Linked DNA regions of Saccharomyces cerevisiae S288C. The protein of the gene in region 1 interacts with the protein of each later gene in a biochemical or structural test. Each region holds a gene or a part of one and is shown in the gene's direction. Other genes may lie near its edges.

Region 1 (5,585 bases):
CTATCCTTGGCGTCCATGTTGAGCATGGTATTATCTTCACCTGCTGCCTGTCTTTAAATCGAGGGTATCCGCACCGCAGTTCGTGACCTGTGCCTGCGTTATGCGAGAGCAAAAGGGCCCTTAACGAGCCGGCACCTAAACGAAAATTTCAAGGGTTTTTTTGGCGGTGCCTAATAAGGAACGCGCAGAACAATAGACCCTGCCGGTAAACGATGGCCTTGCAGTCGTATACTGTTAAAACTGTTGAGTGGGTGAATGGCAGGGCCTAACTGCTTGCCTAGGAGTACCGCAGGAACGGTACGAATCGAGTGGAGACAGCAAACCTTGACGTGTGCTTGCTTTTAAACGGGTCGGAGAATTTACTCTTGAGCATATACGTGTGGGCATATGCATACAAATATATAAATACATTCGGGTGTATACGTAAATATATAAATATATAAAGTAACATATGTATATAAAGACGAAAGATTGAACGCCATCGTGGAGAGGGTTTTCGTATGAAGGTGCCTTAAGTCTTGTGTAGAAGTAGTTCTTTAGTTAAGATAGAACCTGGTAAAGACTCAATGGACTATTTACATGTATATAACAACAACCAGGCGCACGTTCCCAGAACACCTCCAGGCAGGCAGTGCCTATCGCCCGTTCTGCCCCCAATCATATTGGCGTTAGATCAACAACATTCGCTGACATTTGGGTACTCCAGCCCCAGGTGCTTGCCAACACCCATATTGCCTTCTATGAGCACAAATACGCCCGTCCATTGGTCACAACAGGTTGTCACTATCCCTGTCGCTGTACGAAATCATGCCGCAATGATGCCTATTATCACACCTATGACCTCCCCAAGACCTCAGTTTGAAGCAACGGCTCCCTCACCCCCTTTGGCCCCGGTCGCCATAAAGCTGCCAGATTTGAAACTACCACCGTCGCCTGTGCCCAGCACAGTAGAGGACAGAGTTTCACATCCTATCCTGCCCAAAATTGTGATCGGGAATGGCGGCGGCCGTGATGTTGAGCGAGATAGTACCGAGGAATTAATTAGGAAGATTCCAAACTACATTGGTTGTGCAAAAACAAAGGCACAATTGAGCAAAGTTAGGTCTGGTAAACAACTAATTGCATGCGCACAGGAATATCACCATCCAGTAAACAAGGACGAGATCGAAAATATCAACAACATTCTAAACTTCAGGGACTTTATTTTCAAGCATCCAAAATCCTCCTTCGAGTTCCTATGTACCCTGTCGTTTGAGCAGTTCGTTAGAGTATATTCATTCATTAGTTTCATCTACAGGACAAAGAAAATCAATAAGAACAAGTACGAACTCGTTTGTGAGATGAATGTTCACGAGCAACTCAGCAATAAGCGTATACAAAGAACAAGGACTCCTGAAAAGTACAAAATACATTTGATCTGCGAGTCAAAACTCATACTGACCTTCAACCACTGTACGAAGACAGTAAAATTTGAGTCTATCAATGGCGGGCACTGCCATCCGATTTCAGCCAACCACATTATCAAGCCCTCCCTCTTCCTTACCCACTGCATTAATAAATGCTACCAGACCGTGTCAGACCCTACCGATTTGAAATTGGCATTGAGAGACGCCTTAGAAGCCCTTGATCATGAAAGGATAGGATTGTCTTTCTTAAAGAGGAGACATTTCAAGTGCTCACACCAAGCATCATCACTCTCGAATGCCAGCGCCACATTGAAGAAACAAGAAGATCATGACACATTTGGTGTACATACAGGAATAATTCATACGGCAAATTTCTTCATGTTTAATGCATCTAGCGATATATTCCAGAGGAACTAACATATATAAATATCTGTATCCTTCTTTAAGAAAACACAATTGCATACTTTTTCCATTATAACTGACTGTTTCAGATCCTGCAATAGAAAGTATTTTTTAAGTAATGAAATAGTGCTTCCATTGATAGTAAGTGAGTAATAAGACGATCGGAAACTATTAATATAAGTATAGTTTACATATATATATATATATATGTGCCAGACGATAATATCACCGTAGTTTCCGGCCGGGTTATGCCACGCGAAAACGCCTCGAGCCAAGGGAAAAACTAAACTACAAAACAAAACAAAACAAAACAAAAACATCTACTATATCGTTTTACCCAATTCAGTATATCCGTCTACAACAGTTCTCGCCACCCAAGATCTGTAAACTTACAACTGCAAACAAACAATGAGAGAAGTTATTAGTATTAATGGTATGTTCGATTTGCCCGTCCAGGCTAGATCTTTTTTTTGTTAGTTCATTTTGGCGTTTCATCTTTCATTACTAACTTCAACGCAAAATTTTTTTTTTTTTGATTTCTCTTTACAGTCGGTCAAGCTGGTTGTCAGATTGGTAATGCCTGTTGGGAATTATATTCCCTTGAGCACGGTATTAAGCCGGATGGACATCTAGAAGATGGCCTTTCAAAGCCGAAGGGAGGAGAAGAGGGTTTCTCCACGTTTTTCCATGAAACCGGCTACGGTAAGTTCGTTCCAAGGGCTATTTACGTGGATTTAGAGCCCAACGTTATTGACGAAGTCCGTAACGGTCCTTACAAGGACTTGTTCCATCCAGAACAGTTGATCAGTGGTAAGGAGGACGCGGCTAATAATTATGCAAGAGGCCATTACACCGTTGGTAGAGAAATTTTGGGCGATGTTCTGGATAGGATTAGAAAACTGGCAGACCAATGTGATGGGTTACAAGGGTTCTTGTTTACCCATTCTCTTGGTGGTGGTACTGGTTCCGGTCTAGGGTCCTTACTGTTGGAAGAACTATCCGCTGAATACGGTAAGAAATCCAAGCTGGAATTTGCCGTATACCCTGCTCCACAAGTGTCTACTTCTGTGGTTGAGCCTTACAACACAGTTTTAACTACACATACTACATTGGAACATGCAGATTGTACTTTCATGGTCGATAATGAGGCTATTTACGACATGTGCAAAAGAAACTTGGATATCCCAAGACCAAGCTTTGCAAACTTAAACAACCTAATTGCTCAAGTGGTATCATCTGTTACAGCATCATTGAGATTCGACGGTTCATTAAATGTAGATTTGAACGAATTTCAAACCAATTTGGTTCCATATCCAAGAATTCATTTCCCCTTAGTTTCATATTCTCCAGTCTTATCCAAATCAAAGGCATTCCATGAGTCCAACTCTGTGTCAGAAATTACAAACGCTTGTTTTGAACCTGGTAACCAGATGGTCAAGTGTGATCCAAGAGATGGTAAATACATGGCTACTTGTCTGTTATACAGGGGTGATGTGGTAACAAGAGATGTTCAAAGAGCTGTCGAGCAGGTGAAAAACAAGAAGACCGTCCAATTGGTTGATTGGTGTCCAACTGGTTTCAAGATCGGTATTTGCTACGAACCTCCAACTGCCACACCAAACTCACAATTGGCCACTGTGGATAGGGCCGTCTGTATGTTGTCAAATACCACATCCATTGCTGAGGCTTGGAAGAGAATCGATAGAAAATTCGATTTAATGTATGCCAAACGTGCTTTCGTCCACTGGTATGTCGGTGAAGGTATGGAAGAAGGTGAATTCACCGAAGCTAGAGAAGATTTGGCTGCTTTAGAAAGAGATTACATCGAAGTGGGTGCCGACTCATACGCTGAGGAAGAGGAATTTTAAGGTTCACTCTCGCCCCCAACCTCCTTATCCTTTCTATATTTCAAGTATATTGTAAAAAAAAAAATTCCCCCTACTGTTATATCTCTTTGGTGATATCTTATCTATAATCTACTTATTATATTTCTCTAATATCTATGTACAAAAAATAAAAAAAAAAACCATTCTCCTTCTCTAACCTGCATTTGATGAAAGCTTAGTAAGTCTCATCGTAGTTGATGGGCCAAAGACATTTGTACTTGTTTCATCAGATTCTTACATCACCCATTTCCATGATTATTTCACGGATTTCATTAGTAATTGCATTTTTGTATCCCTAGTTCCTTTTCTCCCGCCTTGCCGTCGAATTGAAAAAAAAAATGGAAATGAGGACATCTTCCATTGATATCCAGGACAAAGCAAGAGTAGAAGTAACTATTAGCAAGGAGAATTCCAAAAATAGTGAACTTCAAGGTAAGCAGATCTATAGTTTCAATATCTGATTTTCTGCTTTTCAAAACTTAAAATTCATTAGAAGGTAAAACAAGAACCCGTAAAATTAAAGTTACCGATATTATCAGGTTTTTCACCCCATGTCTACTATCCCATTTAGAAAGAACTATGTGTTCAAAAACTGGGCCGGAATTTATTCTGCAAAACCAGAACGTTACTTCCAACCAAGTTCAATTGATGAGGTTGTCGAGTTAGTAAAGAGTGCCAGGCTAGCTGAAAAAAGCTTAGTTACTGTTGGTTCGGGCCATTCTCCTAGTAACATGTGCGTTACTGATGAATGGCTTGTTAACTTAGACAGATTGGACAAAGTACAAAAGTTTGTTGAATATCCTGAGTTACATTATGCCGATGTCACAGTTGATGCCGGTATGAGGCTTTACCAATTGAATGAATTTTTGGGTGCGAAAGGTTACTCTATCCAAAATTTAGGCTCTATCTCAGAACAAAGTGTTGCTGGCATAATCTCTACTGGTAGTCATGGTTCCTCACCTTATCACGGTTTGATTTCTTCTCAATACGTAAACTTGACTATTGTTAATGGTAAGGGCGAATTGAAGTTCTTGGATGCTGAAAACGATCCAGAAGTCTTTAAAGCTGCTTTACTTTCAGTTGGAAAAATTGGTATCATTGTCTCTGCTACTATCAGGGTTGTTCCCGGCTTCAATATTAAATCCACTCAAGAAGTGATTACTTTTGAAAACCTTTTGAAGCAATGGGATACCCTATGGACTTCATCTGAATTTATCAGAGTTTGGTGGTACCCTTATACTAGAAAATGTGTTCTATGGAGGGGTAACAAAACTACAGATGCCCAAAATGGTCCAGCCAAGTCATGGTGGGGTACCAAGCTGGGTAGATTTTTCTACGAAACTCTATTATGGATCTCTACCAAAATCTATGCGCCATTAACCCCATTTGTGGAAAAGTTCGTTTTCAACAGGCAATACGGGAAATTGGAGAAGAGCTCTACTGGTGATGTTAATGTTACCGATTCTATCAGCGGATTTAATATGGACTGTTTGTTTTCACAATTTGTTGATGAATGGGGGTGCCCTATGGATAATGGTTTGGAAGTCTTACGTTCATTGGATCATTCTATTGCGCAGGCTGCCATAAACAAAGAATTTTATGTCCACGTGCCTATGGAAGTCCGTTGCTCAAATACTACATTACCTTCTGAACCCTTGGATACTAGCAAGAGAACAAACACCAGTCCCGGTCCCGTTTATGGCAATGTGTGCCGCCCATTCCTGGATAACACACCATCCCATTGCAGATTTGCTCCGTTGGAAAATGTTACCAACAGTCAGTTGACGTTGTACATAAATGCTACCATTTATAGGCCGTTTGGCTGTAATACTCCAATTCATAAATGGTTTACCCTTTTTGAAAATACTATGATGGTAGCGGGAGGTAAGCC
Region 2 (6,315 bases), on another chromosome or scaffold:
AATAGGTTGTCTCGAGTTCATTGCTTCATTTTCAAAAAGAGGCATGCTGTAGGCAAAAGCATGTATGAATCTCCGGCACAAGGTTTAGATGATATTTGGTATTGCCACACCGGAACTAACGTGAGCTATTTAAATAATAACCGCATGATACAGGGTACGAAATTCCTTTTACAAGACGGAGATGAAATCAAGATCATTTGGGATAAAAACAATAAATTTGTCATTGGCTTTAAAGTGGAAATTAACGATACTACAGGTCTGTTTAACGAGGGATTAGGTATGTTACAAGAACAAAGAGTAGTACTTAAGCAAACAGCCGAAGAAAAAGATTTGGTGAAAAAGTTAACCCAGATGATGGCAGCTCAACGTGCAAATCAACCCTCGGCTTCTTCTTCATCAATGTCGGCTAAGAAGCCGCCAGTTAGCGATACAAATAATAACGGCAATAATTCGGTACTAAACGACTTGGTAGAGTCACCGATTAATGCGAATACGGGGAACATTTTGAAGAGAATACATTCGGTAAGTTTATCGCAATCACAAATTGATCCTAGTAAGAAGGTTAAAAGGGCAAAATTGGACCAAACCTCAAAAGGCCCCGAGAATTTGCAATTTTCGTAACCAAGGACAAATACCCATAGAAAATGCTGCCCCTTTTTAAGAGAGAAGATGGTAGATACCAATACTCAGAATTCATCTATTCATAACTTTTTGGGTTTTTATTACATATAGAGTGACGTTTTGATACGATTTACATTTTGAAATATATAGATTTTTGTATATTAATAAGTTTTGATTTTCAGTTTTAGTTATGCTTAATGAATTTTTGAATCAGAAAAAGAAGTTCTGAAAAAAACATAATCCTGCTTGATGTGGTACAACAAGCTCATAAATAATTTTAAAAAGTTTGTTAATCCGTTTTCAATATCTTGAGCTCCTCAATTGTATTTGCTGAGGTCTGATTATTTCTATAACCAAAAGCGGTTATTGAATCTATGGAGAGGCTGTAACCCGTCTTATGCCTTCCGGGTACTATATTTCATTTGCGGGTGTCGATGGATTAAGGGGCGGAGGCGGCCCTTTTTAGGATTTATATAAAAAGCCATACTTCCGTACTTCGTAACCTCTTATCAACTGGTTAAGGGAACAGAGTAAAGAAGTTTGGGTAATTCGCTGCTATTTATTCATTCCACCTTCTTCTTTTTTGAGCGAAGCCTTTATAATCAAATTTTAGTGGTCTTTTCTATTTTTATTTGAGAAGCCTACCACGTAAGGGAAGAATAACAAAAAGTATATCTCACCCTACTGTATTCATAAAAAGTTTTTTCTATTAGAATTCTATAAGAAAAGAAAAAAAAAAAGCCTAGTGACCTAGTATTTAATCCAAATAAAATTCAAACAAAAACCAAAACTAACATGTTCAGCTTGAAAGCATTATTGCCATTGGCCTTGTTGTTGGTCAGCGCCAACCAAGTTGCTGCAAAAGTCCACAAGGCTAAAATTTATAAACACGAGTTGTCCGATGAGATGAAAGAAGTCACTTTCGAGCAACATTTAGCTCATTTAGGCCAAAAGTACTTGACTCAATTTGAGAAAGCTAACCCCGAAGTTGTTTTTTCTAGGGAGCATCCTTTCTTCACTGAAGGTGGTCACGATGTTCCATTGACAAATTACTTGAACGCACAATATTACACTGACATTACTTTGGGTACTCCACCTCAAAACTTCAAGGTTATTTTGGATACTGGTTCTTCAAACCTTTGGGTTCCAAGTAACGAATGTGGTTCCTTGGCTTGTTTCCTACATTCTAAATACGATCATGAAGCTTCATCAAGCTACAAAGCTAATGGTACTGAATTTGCCATTCAATATGGTACTGGTTCTTTGGAAGGTTACATTTCTCAAGACACTTTGTCCATCGGGGATTTGACCATTCCAAAACAAGACTTCGCTGAGGCTACCAGCGAGCCGGGCTTAACATTTGCATTTGGCAAGTTCGATGGTATTTTGGGTTTGGGTTACGATACCATTTCTGTTGATAAGGTGGTCCCTCCATTTTACAACGCCATTCAACAAGATTTGTTGGACGAAAAGAGATTTGCCTTTTATTTGGGAGACACTTCAAAGGATACTGAAAATGGCGGTGAAGCCACCTTTGGTGGTATTGACGAGTCTAAGTTCAAGGGCGATATCACTTGGTTACCTGTTCGTCGTAAGGCTTACTGGGAAGTCAAGTTTGAAGGTATCGGTTTAGGCGACGAGTACGCCGAATTGGAGAGCCATGGTGCCGCCATCGATACTGGTACTTCTTTGATTACCTTGCCATCAGGATTAGCTGAAATGATTAATGCTGAAATTGGGGCCAAGAAGGGTTGGACCGGTCAATATACTCTAGACTGTAACACCAGAGACAATCTACCTGATCTAATTTTCAACTTCAATGGCTACAACTTCACTATTGGGCCATACGATTACACGCTTGAAGTTTCAGGCTCCTGTATCTCTGCAATTACACCAATGGATTTCCCAGAACCTGTTGGCCCACTGGCCATCGTTGGTGATGCCTTCTTGCGTAAATACTATTCTATTTACGATTTGGGCAACAATGCGGTTGGTTTGGCCAAAGCAATTTGAGCTAAACTTTTCTTACTTCTCCGCCCTATCCTTTTCTGCCATCTAGAGAGCTTTTATAAGTAGATAACAATAAAAAAAACTATAGTATATTTAAAAAAAAAAAACAAGACAAACCATCTTGTCCTCAGTTTTAGAATCCATTGTTCTATGCTGCTGCCCATAATGTCATTATATGCGGGTAGCCCGATGATGCGGCTCGAGAATTTCCTTGTTTATCCTTTTCCAATAGCGGAACAATTGATAATAAAGCAATGTAAGCAGAAGCGAAAAATAAAAAGAAATAGGCTGCAGAGATTCACAGGCTGCGCTCTAGAAACATTTGAAATCAAGGCAAACATAGAACACTTGATAAAATTCTTACCATAATACCACCATTGATGATTCAAAAAATGAGCCCAAGCTTAAGGAGGCCATCAACGAGGTCTAGTTCTGGTTCAAGTAATATCCCACAATCGCCCTCTGTACGATCAACTTCATCGTTTTCTAATCTGACAAGAAACTCCATACGGAGCACCTCTAATTCGGGTTCTCAGTCGATTTCTGCATCTTCCACTAGAAGTAACTCCCCACTAAGATCCGTATCAGCCAAATCCGATCCCTTCCTTCACCCAGGTAGGATAAGGATCAGGCGGAGCGACAGTATTAACAACAACTCGAGAAAAAACGATACATATACTGGGTCAATCACTGTGACCATCCGGCCGAAACCACGGAGCGTTGGAACTTCCCGTGACCATGTGGGGCTAAAATCGCCCAGGTACTCTCAACCAAGATCCAACTCACATCACGGTAGCAATACATTTGTTAGAGACCCCTGGTTTATTACTAATGACAAAACAATAGTGCATGAAGAAATTGGAGAGTTCAAGTTCGATCATGTTTTTGCTTCCCATTGCACTAATTTGGAAGTTTATGAAAGAACCAGTAAACCAATGATTGATAAGTTATTGATGGGGTTTAATGCCACCATATTTGCGTACGGTATGACCGGGTCAGGTAAAACGTTTACAATGAGCGGAAATGAACAAGAGCTAGGCCTAATTCCTTTATCTGTGTCGTATTTATTTACCAATATCATGGAACAATCAATGAATGGCGATAAAAAGTTCGACGTTATAATATCGTACCTCGAAATTTACAATGAAAGGATTTACGACCTGTTAGAAAGCGGATTAGAAGAATCCGGTAGTAGAATCAGTACTCCTTCAAGGTTATATATGAGCAAGAGCAACAGCAATGGATTGGGCGTAGAATTAAAAATCAGAGATGACTCTCAGTATGGGGTCAAAGTTATCGGTCTCACCGAAAGAAGATGTGAAAGTAGTGAAGAATTATTGAGGTGGATTGCAGTTGGTGACAAAAGTAGGAAAATTGGCGAAACTGACTACAATGCAAGAAGCTCACGATCTCATGCCATTGTACTGATTCGTTTAACAAGTACTAACGTAAAGAACGGCACCTCAAGATCGAGTACATTGTCGTTGTGTGACCTAGCAGGTTCGGAAAGGGCTACGGGGCAACAAGAGAGGAGAAAGGAAGGTTCATTCATCAACAAATCCTTACTTGCTTTGGGGACTGTGATATCCAAACTCAGTGCCGACAAGATGAACTCAGTAGGCTCAAACATTCCCTCGCCATCTGCAAGTGGCAGTAGCAGCAGTAGTGGAAATGCTACCAATAACGGCACTAGCCCAAGCAACCACATTCCATATCGTGATTCTAAATTGACTAGATTATTGCAGCCGGCACTAAGCGGTGACAGCATAGTGACAACGATATGTACAGTCGACACCAGAAATGATGCGGCAGCGGAAACTATGAATACGCTGAGGTTTGCATCAAGAGCGAAAAACGTCGCACTTCATGTATCCAAAAAATCCATCATCAGTAACGGGAATAACGATGGAGATAAAGATCGCACCATTGAGCTACTGAGACGCCAATTGGAAGAACAACGTAGGATGATCTCTGAATTGAAGAACCGTTCAAACATTGGCGAGCCCTTAACCAAATCTTCCAATGAAAGTACTTATAAAGACATTAAAGCCACCGGCAATGATGGTGATCCGAATTTGGCTCTAATGAGAGCGGAGAATCGAGTATTAAAATATAAACTAGAGAATTGTGAAAAACTACTAGATAAAGATGTGGTTGATTTGCAAGATTCTGAGATTATGGAAATTGTAGAAATGCTTCCCTTTGAGGTCGGCACCCTTTTGGAAACAAAGTTCCAAGGTTTGGAATCACAAATAAGGCAATATAGGAAATACACTCAAAAACTTGAAGACAAGATCATGGCGCTAGAAAAAAGTGGTCATACTGCAATGTCGCTAACTGGGTGTGACGGCACTGAAGTGATCGAATTACAGAAGATGCTCGAGAGGAAGGATAAAATGATTGAGGCCCTGCAGAGTGCCAAACGACTGCGGGATAGGGCTTTGAAACCACTCATTAATACACAGCAATCACCGCACCCTGTCGTGGATAACGATAAATGATTAGGTGAGGGTCCCAGATCTCGGGTGCTTTTTTCCTTGTGCGGATTGTTCTGTAGACTGCGCCTCCGCTTGCCCGGCGCTTGCCTTGAACGGGATCTATTCTCAGAAGACAGCGCATAAAAGGCAGTTTTTAGGCACTTCTCGTTAAGAAAATACACAAATAATGGATTTACGAAGTTCGTTTCAGTGTGGTACCAAAAAATTTGGCATCAGCTAATAAAGATCAAGAAGTTTTGGGGTTGTTTCGAGTCTGTCTCGGCCTTAATTGTGCAGGTACTAAAGGGATTAATATATAAAGATTGTTAAGGCCAAGTGACTGAAACTTGCAAACGTCTTTGAATCAGGCTTATCTCTTAAATACTTATATATATGTTCTTTTATAGACTTCATAATCTCTTGTTCCAAGAACAGTAAAGAGCAATTAAAAAAAGGAAAATAACAGTTAAAGATGATAGCGGATTCATCAGTTTTGAAAAAGCACACAGCAATCAAGAGAAGTACGAGAATAATATCGCTAACACTCGTTTTGCTTGGCGTATTTAGCTTCTTACTACTTACATGGAATGACTCCTTGGAATTCTACAACTCTGCTGACCCTAGCGAAAACAAAAAAAATAGTGAGGAAGAAAGTGAAAAGAAGTTCGTTTACAAGTTGCCAAACTTATTAAAGACAGCAGACAGTTTTCTAAGTAATGAAAATGAACTAAATTTCCAAAAAGTCAAAGAAGAAATTTCAAATATTCAAAGCGAGGTTGAAGTCGACATCCCAGAACCCTCATCCAAAGCTACATCAAAATTTTCTTCAAGATCGTTCCAAACTGATAATGTCGTGACGGCGACGACCACAACAACACTAAATCCACGGTCATCTTCTCTGGCCTTGCAGAAAAACTGCGATCACAAAAAATTCGACCCTAGAACAGATTTTCTAGATATAATAAGAACCTCTCCAGCGGTATTATTCATTAAATCATCACAAGCAGACTCCATTTTCTTAAAAAATCTATTACAAAGAGAATTTGAGATTTCACCCGAATTGGCCACTGTTGATTTGGAAAAACACTCTCATGGCTATGAATTAGAAAAGTATATCAAACAAAATAAACTAAATATCGATACTAGTGCTGCCTTGGAATCCATTCAGTCGCCTTATTTATTTTTGAATGGTATTTCCGTGATAAAT
Region 3 (5,316 bases), on another chromosome or scaffold:
CGCTCCATGCGTTTTCACCGGTGTAACATTCAGAATGGATCCGTACCAGCGTGTCGTTATGGGCGTCCCATGTAGTGGCTTTGGAAGCTAATAACTCACCTGTACTATCATCAAACTCCAGAGCTAATCCGAGTCTATCGTCTTCGTCTGCCACAGTTCTGCCGGGATACAGTTTGCCAATATAAGCGCCCCTGATCATTCTATCTTGTTGCGTCTCGCACTGTCTTCTACGGAATAGCGAGCGCGACCGTATGTCTTCACCAAACACAATGGCTAGATGTTCCTTGTTGTCCCTGTTGTTACTGTAAAGATGTAAAAAGATATCCGGACCCTGTGTGGTTGGGATACGAGCTCTTGCGACACATTGTACTAGAGGCAAGCCGCCATCGCCGTTCCTGCCATCACCCGTACCACTAACCTCGTATTTGCTGCTATCCTGTTTACTGTTGTCGTAGTTATCTATGGTCATCCTGTAGGTTTGTTGTAGTTTTATGTACGCCACTTTTTGTAATGACTCAATTATTGTCCACGCCAGCACAGCAACTTCTTTATATATACTATAGCGGCGCTGGCGCTCACCCCACAAGAGCGTCCGACTAATTTCTGACAAATCGTAAAAAGAAAAAGAAAAACTCAAAGGAAAAAGAAAAAGTCTCACCCTACACAACTTGTTTTCAAAAACGGTATAGACCCTACTATTTCTGTTTTAGCCCTATGCTAAGTCTAGACATTACCCTATCCCTTTTAACGAAAGCCCTTTTGTTTTTTTTCTGTGTGTCCGGCCGCTCAGCCAAACAACAAACAAGACTATAATCTGGAGCATAAGTACCCGAGCATATATAACTACTTGGCATACGAAGTAAAAGCATATTGCTCCCCACTCCTATCGCGCGTCCCCTGTACAACAAAGCATCAACTTATCGGGTAACTTAGAGACAGCATTAGTATATATACCAGCCATGTCACAGTTCTTCGAAGCTGCTACTCCCGTTGCAATTCCCACAAACAATACCAACGGCGGCTCCAGTGATGCCGGCAGCGCCGCCACTGGCGGCGCCCCCGTTGTTGGCACCACCGCTCAACCCACCATCAATCACAGGCTTTTGCTGTCATTGAAAGAGGCTGCCAAGATCATTGGCACTAAGGGCTCCACCATCTCACGCATAAGAGCTGCAAACGCCGTCAAGATCGGTATTTCTGAAAAGGTGCCCGGTTGCTCTGACAGGATCCTGTCCTGTGCTGGGAACGTAATCAATGTGGCCAATGCCATTGGTGATATTGTTGACGTGCTTAACAAACGGAATCCCGAAAATGAGGACGCAGCTGAGGGCGAAGCGGAAGAGCACTACTACTTCCACTTTTTGAACCATATTTTACCAGCTCCCTCAAAGGACGAGATCAGAGATCTGCAGCAACTGGAGGACATCGGTTATGTGAGGCTCATTGTGGCCAATTCCCATATCTCATCGATTATCGGGAAAGCAGGCGCCACCATCAAGTCCCTGATCAATAAGCACGGCGTTAAGATCGTGGCTTCCAAGGACTTCTTACCTGCTAGCGACGAGAGAATTATCGAGATCCAGGGTTTCCCAGGATCCATCACCAATGTACTTATCGAAATTAGCGAGATCATCTTGAGTGACGTTGACGTCAGATTCAGCACAGAAAGATCTTATTTCCCTCATCTGAAAAAGTCCTCCGGTGAGCCAACTTCCCCTTCTACCTCATCTAACACTAGGATCGAATTGAAGATTCCAGAACTGTATGTAGGCGCCATTATTGGCCGTGGAATGAACAGAATTAAGAATTTGAAAACTTTCACAAAAACCAATATTGTCGTGGAAAGGAAGGATGACGATGATAAAGACGAAAATTTTAGAAAATTCATAATCACAAGTAAATTTCCTAAGAATGTCAAACTTGCTGAGTCCATGCTTTTGAAGAACCTGAATACTGAAATTGAGAAACGTGAAAACTACAAGAGAAAATTGGAAGCTGCCGAAGGAGATGCCACTGTTGTTACTGAACGCTCTGATTCTGCTTCTTTCTTGGAAGAGAAGGAAGAACCTCAAGAGAATCATGATAACAAAGAGGAGCAGTCGTAGTATATACGTGTGCGTGCGCACGTCCCACACAGACAAAACAAACTATCATCTTAACGAATAATGTTGCATCATTACTAGTTTAAACTGTATTTTTATTAAAGGGAAAAAAATGATTCAATATGTATATATTTATTCATGTATATGTATTTTGAATTAAAAAAAAACGTTTTATAAATACTCAATAAAGCCGTTGTATTTTCTTTATTACTATCGAAATTCTTGCTTTAAACATTTCGCGCATCGCCGGCTAGAGGCACAGAGAGGGAAGGGGAAAATAACATGAAAAAATCGTAAGTTTCTAGGCAATGGTATAAACAAATAAACAATAAACATGCAATTACAGCTCTAGAACACATATTATCTTCATGGATGAATGATAAACTCCAAGAAGAGCATAACGAAAAAGACACCACTTCACAAATTAATGGTTTCACGCCGCCGCATATGAGTATAGACTTTCATTCAAATAACAATAGCAATATCATCGAGACTATTGGCGTTTCCAAAAGATTAGGAAATTCTGTATTAAGTGAACTGGATTCTAGAGCTAGCTCAAAATTTGAATTTTTAAAAGATCAATCCGAACAACAATACAACGGCGACAAGAACAATGAACCAAAATCGGGCTCGTATAATATTAATGAGTTCTTCCAAGCAAAGCACGACTCTCAATTTGGCCAGATGGAGTCGCTAGACACACATTATACCCTTTTACATACGCCCAAGAGAAAGTCACAACATGCAATCCCACAGGATCGATCGGATTCGATGAAAAGGTCGAGACCGTCCCGCTCAATTCCATACACTACACCAGTGGTAAACGATATCACAAGAAGAATACGAAGATTGAAATTACGGAACTCATTGGTTAATGGTAATGACATAGTGGCTAGAGCGAGATCTATGCAAGCAAATTCTAACATTAATTCAATAAAGAACACACCATTGTCAAAGCCCAAGCCATTTATGCACAAACCAAACTTTCTAATGCCCACTACGAATTCTTTGAACAAGATCAATTCCGCTCACCGTAATACATCCTCCTCTTCGACAGCTTCATCGATACCAAGATCTAAAGTACACAGATCGATATCAATAAGAGATTTACACGCCAAAACCAAACCGGTAGAACGCACGCCAGTTGCGCAAGGAACAAATTCGCAATTGAAGAATTCAGTTTCCGTTTTTGATAGACTTTACAAGCAAACAACGTTCTCTAGGTCGACGTCTATGAACAACTTATCGTCAGGAACCTCTGCAAAATCCAAGGAACACACAAATGTAAAGACTCGGTTGGTTAAAAGTAAGACAAGTGGTTCATTGTCCAGTAACCTTAAGCAAAGTACTGCCACCGGCACAAAGAGTGATAGACCTATTTGGCGGTGATTAAGTAATAAAAAAATTGCATTTTATAAGAAACATCATGTGATGACATTTAAAAAGTGGGAAAGAATACTACTAATATAAAACTATTTACTGGATATTTAGAATTTTTTTTTTTTCTTCTTTATACGTAAAAGTTGTTCAAAAAATTTCATCGTTTTCTTTTTTTATGAATCTTTGATTCTTGTTGAAAAGAATTTCTAAAAAAATAGGAGGATAATAATATTATCAAAACAAATCGTGTCACTCATTAAACACCAAAAATCCAAAGAAGAAAAAAAGGAAAATGTGAGAAAGAATTTAGATTAAGAATCAAGCCAGATTAGACTTATTTGAACTTCTTACCAAACAAGATCATTTGCAGTTGGTCGTACATTGAGATAACACCAGCACCTGCGACACCTCTTAAGATGTTAGCACCACAACCCTTGAATAGAGAACCAACACCTTCAGCAGCAACAATCTTCCTCAAACAGTCAAAGGCACCGTCGTACTTAACAGCTTGACCGGAGGTCATCATCATTCTTCTTCTAACGGTATCCAATGGGTAAGAACATGTAGAAGCACCAGTAGTAACAACCCAACCCAACAAGAATGAAGCCAAGAATGAACCTTCCAAAGAACCAGTCAACAATAGAGGCTTCAAAGAATCGTACATACCGAAGTATAGACCTCTGTAGACAACAATACCAACGACAGAAGGTAAGAAACCTCTGTAAAGACCAGCAACACCATCAGATTTTAAGGTCTTCTTGTAGACATCGATCAAACCGTTGAATTGACGAGCACCACCCTTTTTAGAGGACTTGGAGTCAGCAGCCAATCTAGTTCTTGCATAATCCAAAGAGTAAACAAATAGTAATGACAAGGCACCAGCAGCACCACCAGATGCCAAGTTACCGGCAAACCATTTGGCGTAACCTTCTTCCTTCTTGAAACCAAACATGGCCTTGATCTTGTCCTTGAAGGCGAAATTCAAAGCTTGAGTGGGGAAATAACGGATAACGTTAGCAGTGTTACCTCTCCAGAATGAGATAACACCTTCCTGTGTAGCGGTTCTCTTGAAACAGTCTAAGATACCTGCGTATTTTCTGTCCAAAGTACCTTGTTTTAACATTTCATCTTGGTTTTGGATCAAAAGTTTAACTCTTTCGATGGGAGATGCAGCAGTTTTGGCGACAGCGGCACTGACACCACCCATTAAGAAATCAATCAAAAAGTTAGATTCCTTCTTTGGAGCTGGGGCTGGAGGTAATGGGGTTTTGACTTGGGCGTTGGAAGACATGGCTATTTGCTTATATGTATGTTAATGTATGATTCTGAAGTATAAAAGAGCACACAAAAAAGAACAACGACAAATATAAATAATATAGAGGGGCTCCTTTGACTTGTAGATGTATTGCAATGTTCCGTATAACTAACAGTGAATATATACTTTTTTGAGTGGGTTGTCGTGAAAAATTAATATTAAAAACTCAAATGGTATTTATATTGTGCGACGACGTGGGCCCGATCGACGGAGACATGTCCCCGATAATCGCACCTCACCCTCTGAGAGTGGGGCCTTCTCATTGGCCCGCGCTCTACACCAATCAGCATAGCGCATTTACCGCCTTTCGCTTGTTCTCCATTGGAAACAGTGCTCGTGCATCGTGATGTTATTTGTTACGTATGGAAAAATCGTGTCTATACTTCTGTATAATATATGTATGGTTATAGTGAACACATATATATAAATACATATATAAGAGGAAGAAAAGGAAATTATTTCGTTATCAGTTGGGCTGCTTTTGTCGTAAGTTTTGTTGTTCTTGAATGACTTTATTAA
Region 4 (7,239 bases), on another chromosome or scaffold:
TAGTTAGCCCTTCGTGTGTACGTTTTTTCTGTTTTCTTCTCTTATTTATAGGGAAGTCAACATCAAAGTCTATTCTTGATATCCAAGTAGCCCCCCAAAACCATAATCTGCTACTATTTTCTATGTCTGAAAATATCCCTACACAGTTCTCTTTTAATGTCTTCCATTCTTTTGGTAAGTTATCCGTATTGTTTTTTGACCATTGAGTTAATACGCTTTCGCTATCTTCATTCTCGGCTTCCGAATTCAAATTCATATTGAATTCATAAATCTTATTGTCTGCAGTAATTACTACTACAGATTTTCTAGAAGTATTGATATGAACAGCGGTGATGAAATTATTCAAACGAGCAAGTGGTTTAGAAATCCTTGCTTTTAAGTCTAATATGTCTACGACTCCACAGCCACGAGAAATTACTGCAATGTTCTGGTCTACTTCCAAATGGTTGATCCTGTTAATATAGGGAACTTTGATACTGCTCTTAGTTGAAGTAACCTCCAAAAGTTCAACTTCTTGCGGTTTTTCATCTTCTTCAGATTCTAGATCCACAATAAATACATCATCTTCGCAAGAGCATATGACAATTTTGGAATTATCGATGAACTTGACTAATTTTGTGGAAGTTCTCAATAATAGGTCATTATCTAGTTTAGTCACTTTCAATTTATTACCTACGGGCTGTAAATGAAAAACTTTAGTGGTAGAGGGCCTCCCTACGACTAAAACTTGTCCATCAGGTGATAAAGAACAAGTTGAGATATTCTGGTCATCTTTTAAAGTTAACTTGCAAACTAGCTTATAATTCTGTTCTGTACTAGAATCGGTTCCCATTGTCCATATCTTAACAGTAGATTCGCTCCATGAAACAACAAGGCGTTGCTCTTTGTTAACTAAAACATTCTTTGAATAAGGTTCGACAGTTGGCATCTTCCTGTAGTTTCCATTAGAAAAAGAAGTAAGTGAGTTGATGACTAGTGTTTTTTCAACACCTCCTGAAACTAGAAAATCTGCACCTTTAGATTGGTATGCACATATTGCTCTAATGTCGTTTCCATGAAGCAACCTATTAGAAGAATTTACCCATCTGTTGTTCTTTTGAGATTTGTTAGTGTTTTGAGAAAATTGAAAGATTTTTCTGTCCACACCAGCACTAAAAACATAATTATTATCAGTATCGGTAGTTAGACACAGTACGTCTGCATCGTGCGCCTTAAATGACTGGTTTAGCGTGGCAAACTGGAAATCCCAGAATTTAATGGAGCCTGTAGAATCACCAGAGGCAATCTGATCAGTTCTTGGTAAATATATAACTGACCAAACTAGAGTTGATTCTTTTTTGGCCTTGTCGACCTTCATAGTGTGTAATAGACGACCCATGTTTTCGTCATTTTTTTGTGCAGACCAAATCCTTATTCTACCATCAGAACAACCACCAATCACGAAGTCATCCTTTTTCCAAGCCAAAGTCAATACTCTGGCTTCTTGTCTCATCAAAATAGTATCGTGTTCCAAGACACCAGGCCCGCCAGAGATATCTATGAGGACCACCGTCCCATTATCGCAACCCACAGACAGCTTGTCTTGTGAATCGTTGATGGAAATAGACCATATCACACCTGAATTGCAATCATAGTTTCTTAATGGTAAACCTGTTGCTAAATCCCATTCTGTTACCACAGTCGAGCCGCCAATAGAAAATAGCCTTAGAGACTCGCCGTTAACGTTGCTCCAGCAAAGGCCTTCAATTGATCTGTCTTTGCCACCTTCGATAACCATTTCCTGAAACCAATTGTTTCTAGGATTCCAGATTTCTATGTTACCATTAGATCTACCAATAGCTAATCTCAAATCGGACGGAGTTAACTTATTTATATTTGATTTATGTGAAAATGCTAGAGATGTGATTGTGGCAGGAGTGAAATCCACAAATCTGCATCTATGCACTATCATCCTTTCCTGACTGGTCATCTTCACCGGTTTGTTTCGTATTTTCAGGCTTCTTGACTTTTCTTTTAAAACTGAAAGTAGCGATGAGCTCATTCGTAGCTTTTTTCTTGTCAGTCTGAAAATTTTTCATTTGGTTTTTTGAAAAAAATCCTGCCTAATATGGTATCAAGAGGAATAACAAGAAAAAAAAATCATGGGGGATACAAAGGAAAACAAGGAGATAATGCAGGTTATACTGAATTGCTCATAGTATTAGCCTAAAGCACTTTACCTCTGATTTATTGCATCTATCGTATTCTTGAGTTATTGCGACTTTTAAAATCCGTGCACCGCATATGAAAGGGTAGAGCCTTCGTGTTTGTTTACCTTTTTAGCTCTTTGAAGATCAAACAAAAACACTTCAGTAATGCCTACAGCCTTGGATAAGACAAAGAAGTTAACAGGCCGCGCCCATCATGCAAGATCCTGATGGTATTGACATTAATACGAAAATCTTTAACTCAGTTGCTGAAGTATTTCAAAAGGCACAGGGTTCTTATGCAGGACACAGGAAGCATATAGCAGTTTTGAAGAAAATTCAGTCAAAGGCTGTTGAGCAAGGCTATGAAGATGCTTTTAACTTTTGGTTCGATAAATTAGTTACTAAGATCCTTCCTCTGAAAAAGAATGAGATTATCGGAGACAGGATAGTAAAGTTAGTAGCTGCATTTATAGCTTCTTTAGAAAGGGAGTTGATATTGGCCAAAAAACAAAACTATAAGCTCACGAATGATGAAGAAGGGATATTCTCAAGGTTCGTCGATCAGTTCATAAGACATGTTTTGCGTGGTGTGGAAAGCCCTGACAAGAACGTCAGATTTAGAGTTTTACAGTTATTAGCCGTTATAATGGATAATATAGGGGAAATCGATGAATCACTTTTCAATTTATTAATATTGTCTTTAAATAAGAGGATTTATGATAGAGAACCAACGGTTAGGATACAGGCTGTGTTTTGTTTAACTAAATTTCAGGATGAAGAGCAAACTGAACATTTAACTGAGCTTTCTGATAATGAAGAAAATTTTGAAGCTACGAGAACTCTAGTTGCTTCTATCCAGAACGATCCGTCAGCTGAAGTACGGAGGGCTGCAATGCTGAATTTGATCAATGATAATAATACTAGACCGTATATCTTGGAGAGGGCTAGAGATGTAAACATCGTTAATAGAAGGCTCGTGTATTCGAGAATTTTGAAATCAATGGGAAGAAAGTGTTTCGATGATATTGAGCCGCATATTTTTGATCAATTGATTGAGTGGGGTTTAGAAGATAGGGAATTATCAGTGAGAAATGCGTGTAAGAGACTCATTGCTCATGATTGGTTAAATGCTCTGGATGGCGATTTGATAGAATTACTAGAAAAATTGGATGTCTCAAGATCCTCAGTGTGTGTTAAGGCTATAGAAGCACTTTTTCAATCAAGGCCAGATATATTATCTAAAATCAAATTTCCTGAAAGTATTTGGAAAGACTTTACCGTAGAAATTGCCTTCCTCTTTCGGGCTATTTATTTGTACTGTTTGGATAATAATATAACAGAAATGCTGGAAGAAAACTTTCCAGAAGCCTCAAAATTATCCGAGCATTTAAACCATTATATTCTTCTCAGATATCATCACAACGACATTTCTAATGACTCTCAGTCGCATTTTGATTATAACACTTTAGAGTTTATTATTGAGCAACTATCGATTGCCGCCGAAAGGTATGATTATAGCGATGAGGTTGGAAGGAGATCGATGCTTACAGTGGTACGAAATATGCTGGCCTTAACTACACTCTCCGAACCTCTTATTAAAATTGGTATTCGTGTAATGAAAAGTCTGTCCATAAATGAAAAAGATTTTGTAACAATGGCAATAGAAATCATTAATGATATTAGAGACGACGATATTGAAAAACAAGAACAAGAAGAGAAAATAAAAAGCAAGAAGATTAATCGCAGAAATGAGACTTCCGTCGATGAAGAGGACGAAAACGGCACACATAATGACGAAGTTAACGAGGATGAAGAAGACGACAATATTTCATCCTTCCATTCTGCTGTAGAAAACTTAGTGCAGGGAAACGGCAACGTATCTGAGAGTGACATAATAAATAATCTCCCACCCGAAAAGGAAGCGTCCTCAGCAACAATTGTTCTCTGTCTTACAAGGTCATCATATATGCTAGAACTAGTTAACACACCGTTAACAGAAAACATTTTAATTGCGTCGTTGATGGACACTTTGATCACACCAGCGGTTAGAAATACCGCGCCAAATATTAGGGAGCTTGGTGTCAAGAACCTTGGTTTATGTTGTCTCTTGGATGTGAAGTTGGCTATTGATAACATGTACATCTTAGGTATGTGCGTTTCGAAAGGTAATGCATCATTAAAGTATATTGCGTTACAAGTCATTGTAGATATTTTTTCCGTACATGGGAACACTGTGGTAGACGGAGAAGGCAAAGTTGACTCAATCTCGTTGCACAAAATATTTTACAAGGTTTTAAAGAATAACGGTTTACCGGAATGTCAGGTGATAGCAGCGGAGGGTTTATGCAAACTATTTTTGGCAGACGTGTTCACTGATGATGATTTGTTTGAAACGTTGGTTTTGTCATATTTTTCGCCGATAAATTCCTCAAACGAAGCGCTGGTACAGGCATTTGCCTTCTGCATTCCAGTCTATTGTTTTTCACATCCTGCTCATCAACAACGTATGTCTAGGACGGCTGCGGACATACTCTTAAGACTATGTGTTCTTTGGGACGATTTACAGAGCTCTGTAATACCTGAGGTAGACCGTGAAGCTATGCTAAAGCCTAACATAATATTTCAACAGTTGCTATTTTGGACTGATCCACGTAACTTAGTTAACCAGACAGGTTCAACAAAAAAAGATACAGTGCAGCTTACATTCTTGATCGATGTGCTCAAAATATACGCTCAAATTGAGAAGAAAGAAATAAAGAAGATGATCATCACTAATATAAACGCTATATTTCTTTCTTCTGAACAAGATTATTCTACTTTGAAAGAACTTCTTGAGTATTCTGACGATATTGCAGAAAATGATAATTTAGACAATGTTAGCAAAAATGCTCTGGACAAGCTAAGGAATAATTTGAATTCGCTGATTGAAGAGATCAATGAAAGGTCAGAAACTCAGACAAAAGATGAGAACAACACTGCGAATGACCAATACTCGTCTATTTTGGGGAATTCATTCAATAAATCTTCAAATGACACCATAGAACACGCTGCTGATATAACTGATGGAAATAACACAGAATTGACTAAAACAACTGTTAATATTTCGGCAGTTGACAATACAACAGAGCAAAGTAACTCAAGGAAAAGAACGAGATCAGAAGCGGAGCAAATTGACACATCCAAAAACCTGGAAAACATGAGTATTCAAGACACGTCAACTGTAGCAAAAAATGTAAGTTTTGTTTTACCTGACGAGAAATCAGATGCAATGTCCATAGATGAAGAAGATAAGGATTCAGAGTCTTTCAGCGAGGTCTGTTAAAATTGATATGCGAGCTCTTCATCTATTTAAGTTGATTTTTTGGTTGTAAACATATTTGTATTTTATTCTTAGGTTTGTTAATTCTTCTACGCTTACCAGATATAGATGCTATATGTTATTGCATTACGCACATTACCCGGTGGGACAAATTATGGAAATATTCCAAGGCTATAAATTCTTTGGTGAAAGGAACTGAAATTATGTCCAGTAATGCACCAGAAATGGACATATAAAACTATTAATGCATTTTATTACAATTATCCTAAGAAAATATCCTATATATAATTAAAGTAAAAGAAATAAGATCAAAAGAACAAAATAAAGTCGAGTAGAATTTTCCTACTTGACTATATTAGAACGAAAAATGTTATTTTATCAAAGTAATTGGTTAGTAGCCGACGTGTTATCCGTTTGGGCCAATAATTCTTTCATTTCTTGCAGCTGCAATTCGGTGATTTTTATAGATTCAACTAGCTGCTGTATTTTATGATCACTAACTCCATTTACGAGCTTAACCTTCTTGTTATTACTCTCCTTAATATGATTGGACAAGACACTATTTTGAACGGTTCCATTTCCACGATCTATCAACCAGTCCCATATGAGACCCTCCGTATCGGTGACTATGTTATTTTTATTCGAGTCTTTACGGCGGGCATCTTTTATAATATTATCTTCGTAAACATGATAGAGTGTTTTAAAATTAGGAACGTAATTATATTCATTTCCATTAATTAAGATTGTTCCTGGAGTAATAATCTGGATGTTCGAAGTATTCTTAGAATGGAATAATAATCTAAAGAAGAAAATCAAGCAAATAAAAAAAGAGATAATTGTCATAATTCCTTGAACGGATGTTATGTTTACTTGTTGTAACATTGAGAAAGCGGAAAAAAATGAATTTTTGGTACTTGTATCTTCGAAGTTTTCTTCATTCTTCTCATTCTTGATAGTGGATGGTGATGATTTCCTTTTATTTACCGTCTTTCCTCTTCTCCTCGATTTTTTCTTCGTTGAACTAGCATTAGAAATTATTTTTTTGAGATCATCTACGAGTTGCTTTGTTGAACTTCTTTGTCCATCAATTGAACCTTTCTCAATGGTTCCTTTCAGCATTGATTTACCTGTCCAGACAACATTGGTGACAACTTTCATGTTCGTTGTGTTGTGATCACCCCAGGAATAGAAAAATCTCGTATGTACTGAAAATGAACTACCGTAAGGAACATCCGGAGATCTGACTATTTGTTTTACCATAAAAAAACTGTTCAAATCCATATGCTCGATGGTCTCTGTGACTATACATTTAGTTTGCTTCGGACCGAATGAATTGTTCAATTTTTTGGTATAGGTGATCTCTCTTGCGTTATTCACAAACTTTGGAATATCACAAACATTAAAGTTATTCTGGTTTTCGATGATTTTCTTAATATATGATGTGTCATCACCATACAATAGTGAAAACACTGTTCCTAAAGGAACTGGTATATTAATTTTTTCATCGATAACTGTATCGTCTTTTCCTTTTTGAAAATCAGGTTCCGTCGGATCATGAACTGGAGGTCCAATAGTTGGCAGATTAATAATTTCTTCTTCTGATTCATTATTGCTGGCTTGATGCTTTGAGTTTATGTTTGAGTCTTCATCACTTAAGATTTTCTTAATTTCAGATATCATTATCTTTGTGGTGTCCGCAACACCATCAAATGTTCCCTTTTCAATCATACT

The links.
Region 2: the proteins of TUB1 (region 1) and KIP2 form a complex in vitro, tested with the Saccharomyces cerevisiae proteins (one study listed by BioGRID).
Region 3: the proteins of TUB1 (region 1) and SHE1 form a complex in vitro, tested with the Saccharomyces cerevisiae proteins (2 studies listed by BioGRID).
Region 4: the proteins of TUB1 (region 1) and YCG1 form a complex in vitro, tested with the Saccharomyces cerevisiae proteins (one study listed by BioGRID).

Annotation. Positions count from the first base shown.
Region 1 is NC_001145.3:96,032-101,616, reverse strand, and holds TUB1 (alpha-tubulin TUB1), read left to right. Parts: upstream 1-2,216; coding exon 2,217-2,241; intron 2,242-2,357; coding exon 2,358-3,676; downstream 3,677-5,585. Other genes in the region: YML083C (uncharacterized protein), read left to right, coding at 567-1,823; ALO1 (D-arabinono-1,4-lactone oxidase), read left to right, coding at 4,246-5,585. UniProt on the Saccharomyces cerevisiae protein: Tubulin is the major constituent of microtubules, a cylinder consisting of laterally associated linear protofilaments composed of alpha- and beta-tubulin heterodimers.
Region 2 is NC_001148.4:256,033-262,347, reverse strand, and holds KIP2 (Kip2p), read left to right. Parts: upstream 1-3,011; coding exon 3,012-5,132; downstream 5,133-6,315. Other genes in the region: serine/threonine/tyrosine protein kinase RAD53, read left to right, coding at 1-621; PEP4 (proteinase A), read left to right, coding at 1,417-2,634; pheromone-regulated protein PRM4, read left to right, coding at 5,581-6,315. UniProt on the Saccharomyces cerevisiae protein: Required for assembly of the mitotic spindle.
Region 3 is NC_001134.8:159,225-164,540, forward strand, and holds SHE1 (She1p), read left to right. Parts: upstream 1-2,474; coding exon 2,475-3,491; downstream 3,492-5,316. Other genes in the region: RIB1 (GTP cyclohydrolase II), read right to left, coding at 1-469; HEK2 (Hek2p), read left to right, coding at 960-2,105; ADP/ATP carrier protein PET9, read right to left, coding at 3,817-4,773; YBL029C-A (uncharacterized protein), read right to left, coding at 5,264-5,316.
Region 4 is NC_001136.10:1,114,723-1,121,961, forward strand, and holds YCG1 (condensin subunit YCG1), read left to right. Parts: upstream 1-2,403; coding exon 2,404-5,511; downstream 5,512-7,239. Other genes in the region: small subunit rRNA maturation protein UTP4, read right to left, coding at 1-2,041; YSP2 (Ysp2p), read right to left, coding at 5,887-7,239. UniProt on the Saccharomyces cerevisiae protein: Regulatory subunit of the condensin complex, a complex required for conversion of interphase chromatin into mitotic-like condense chromosomes.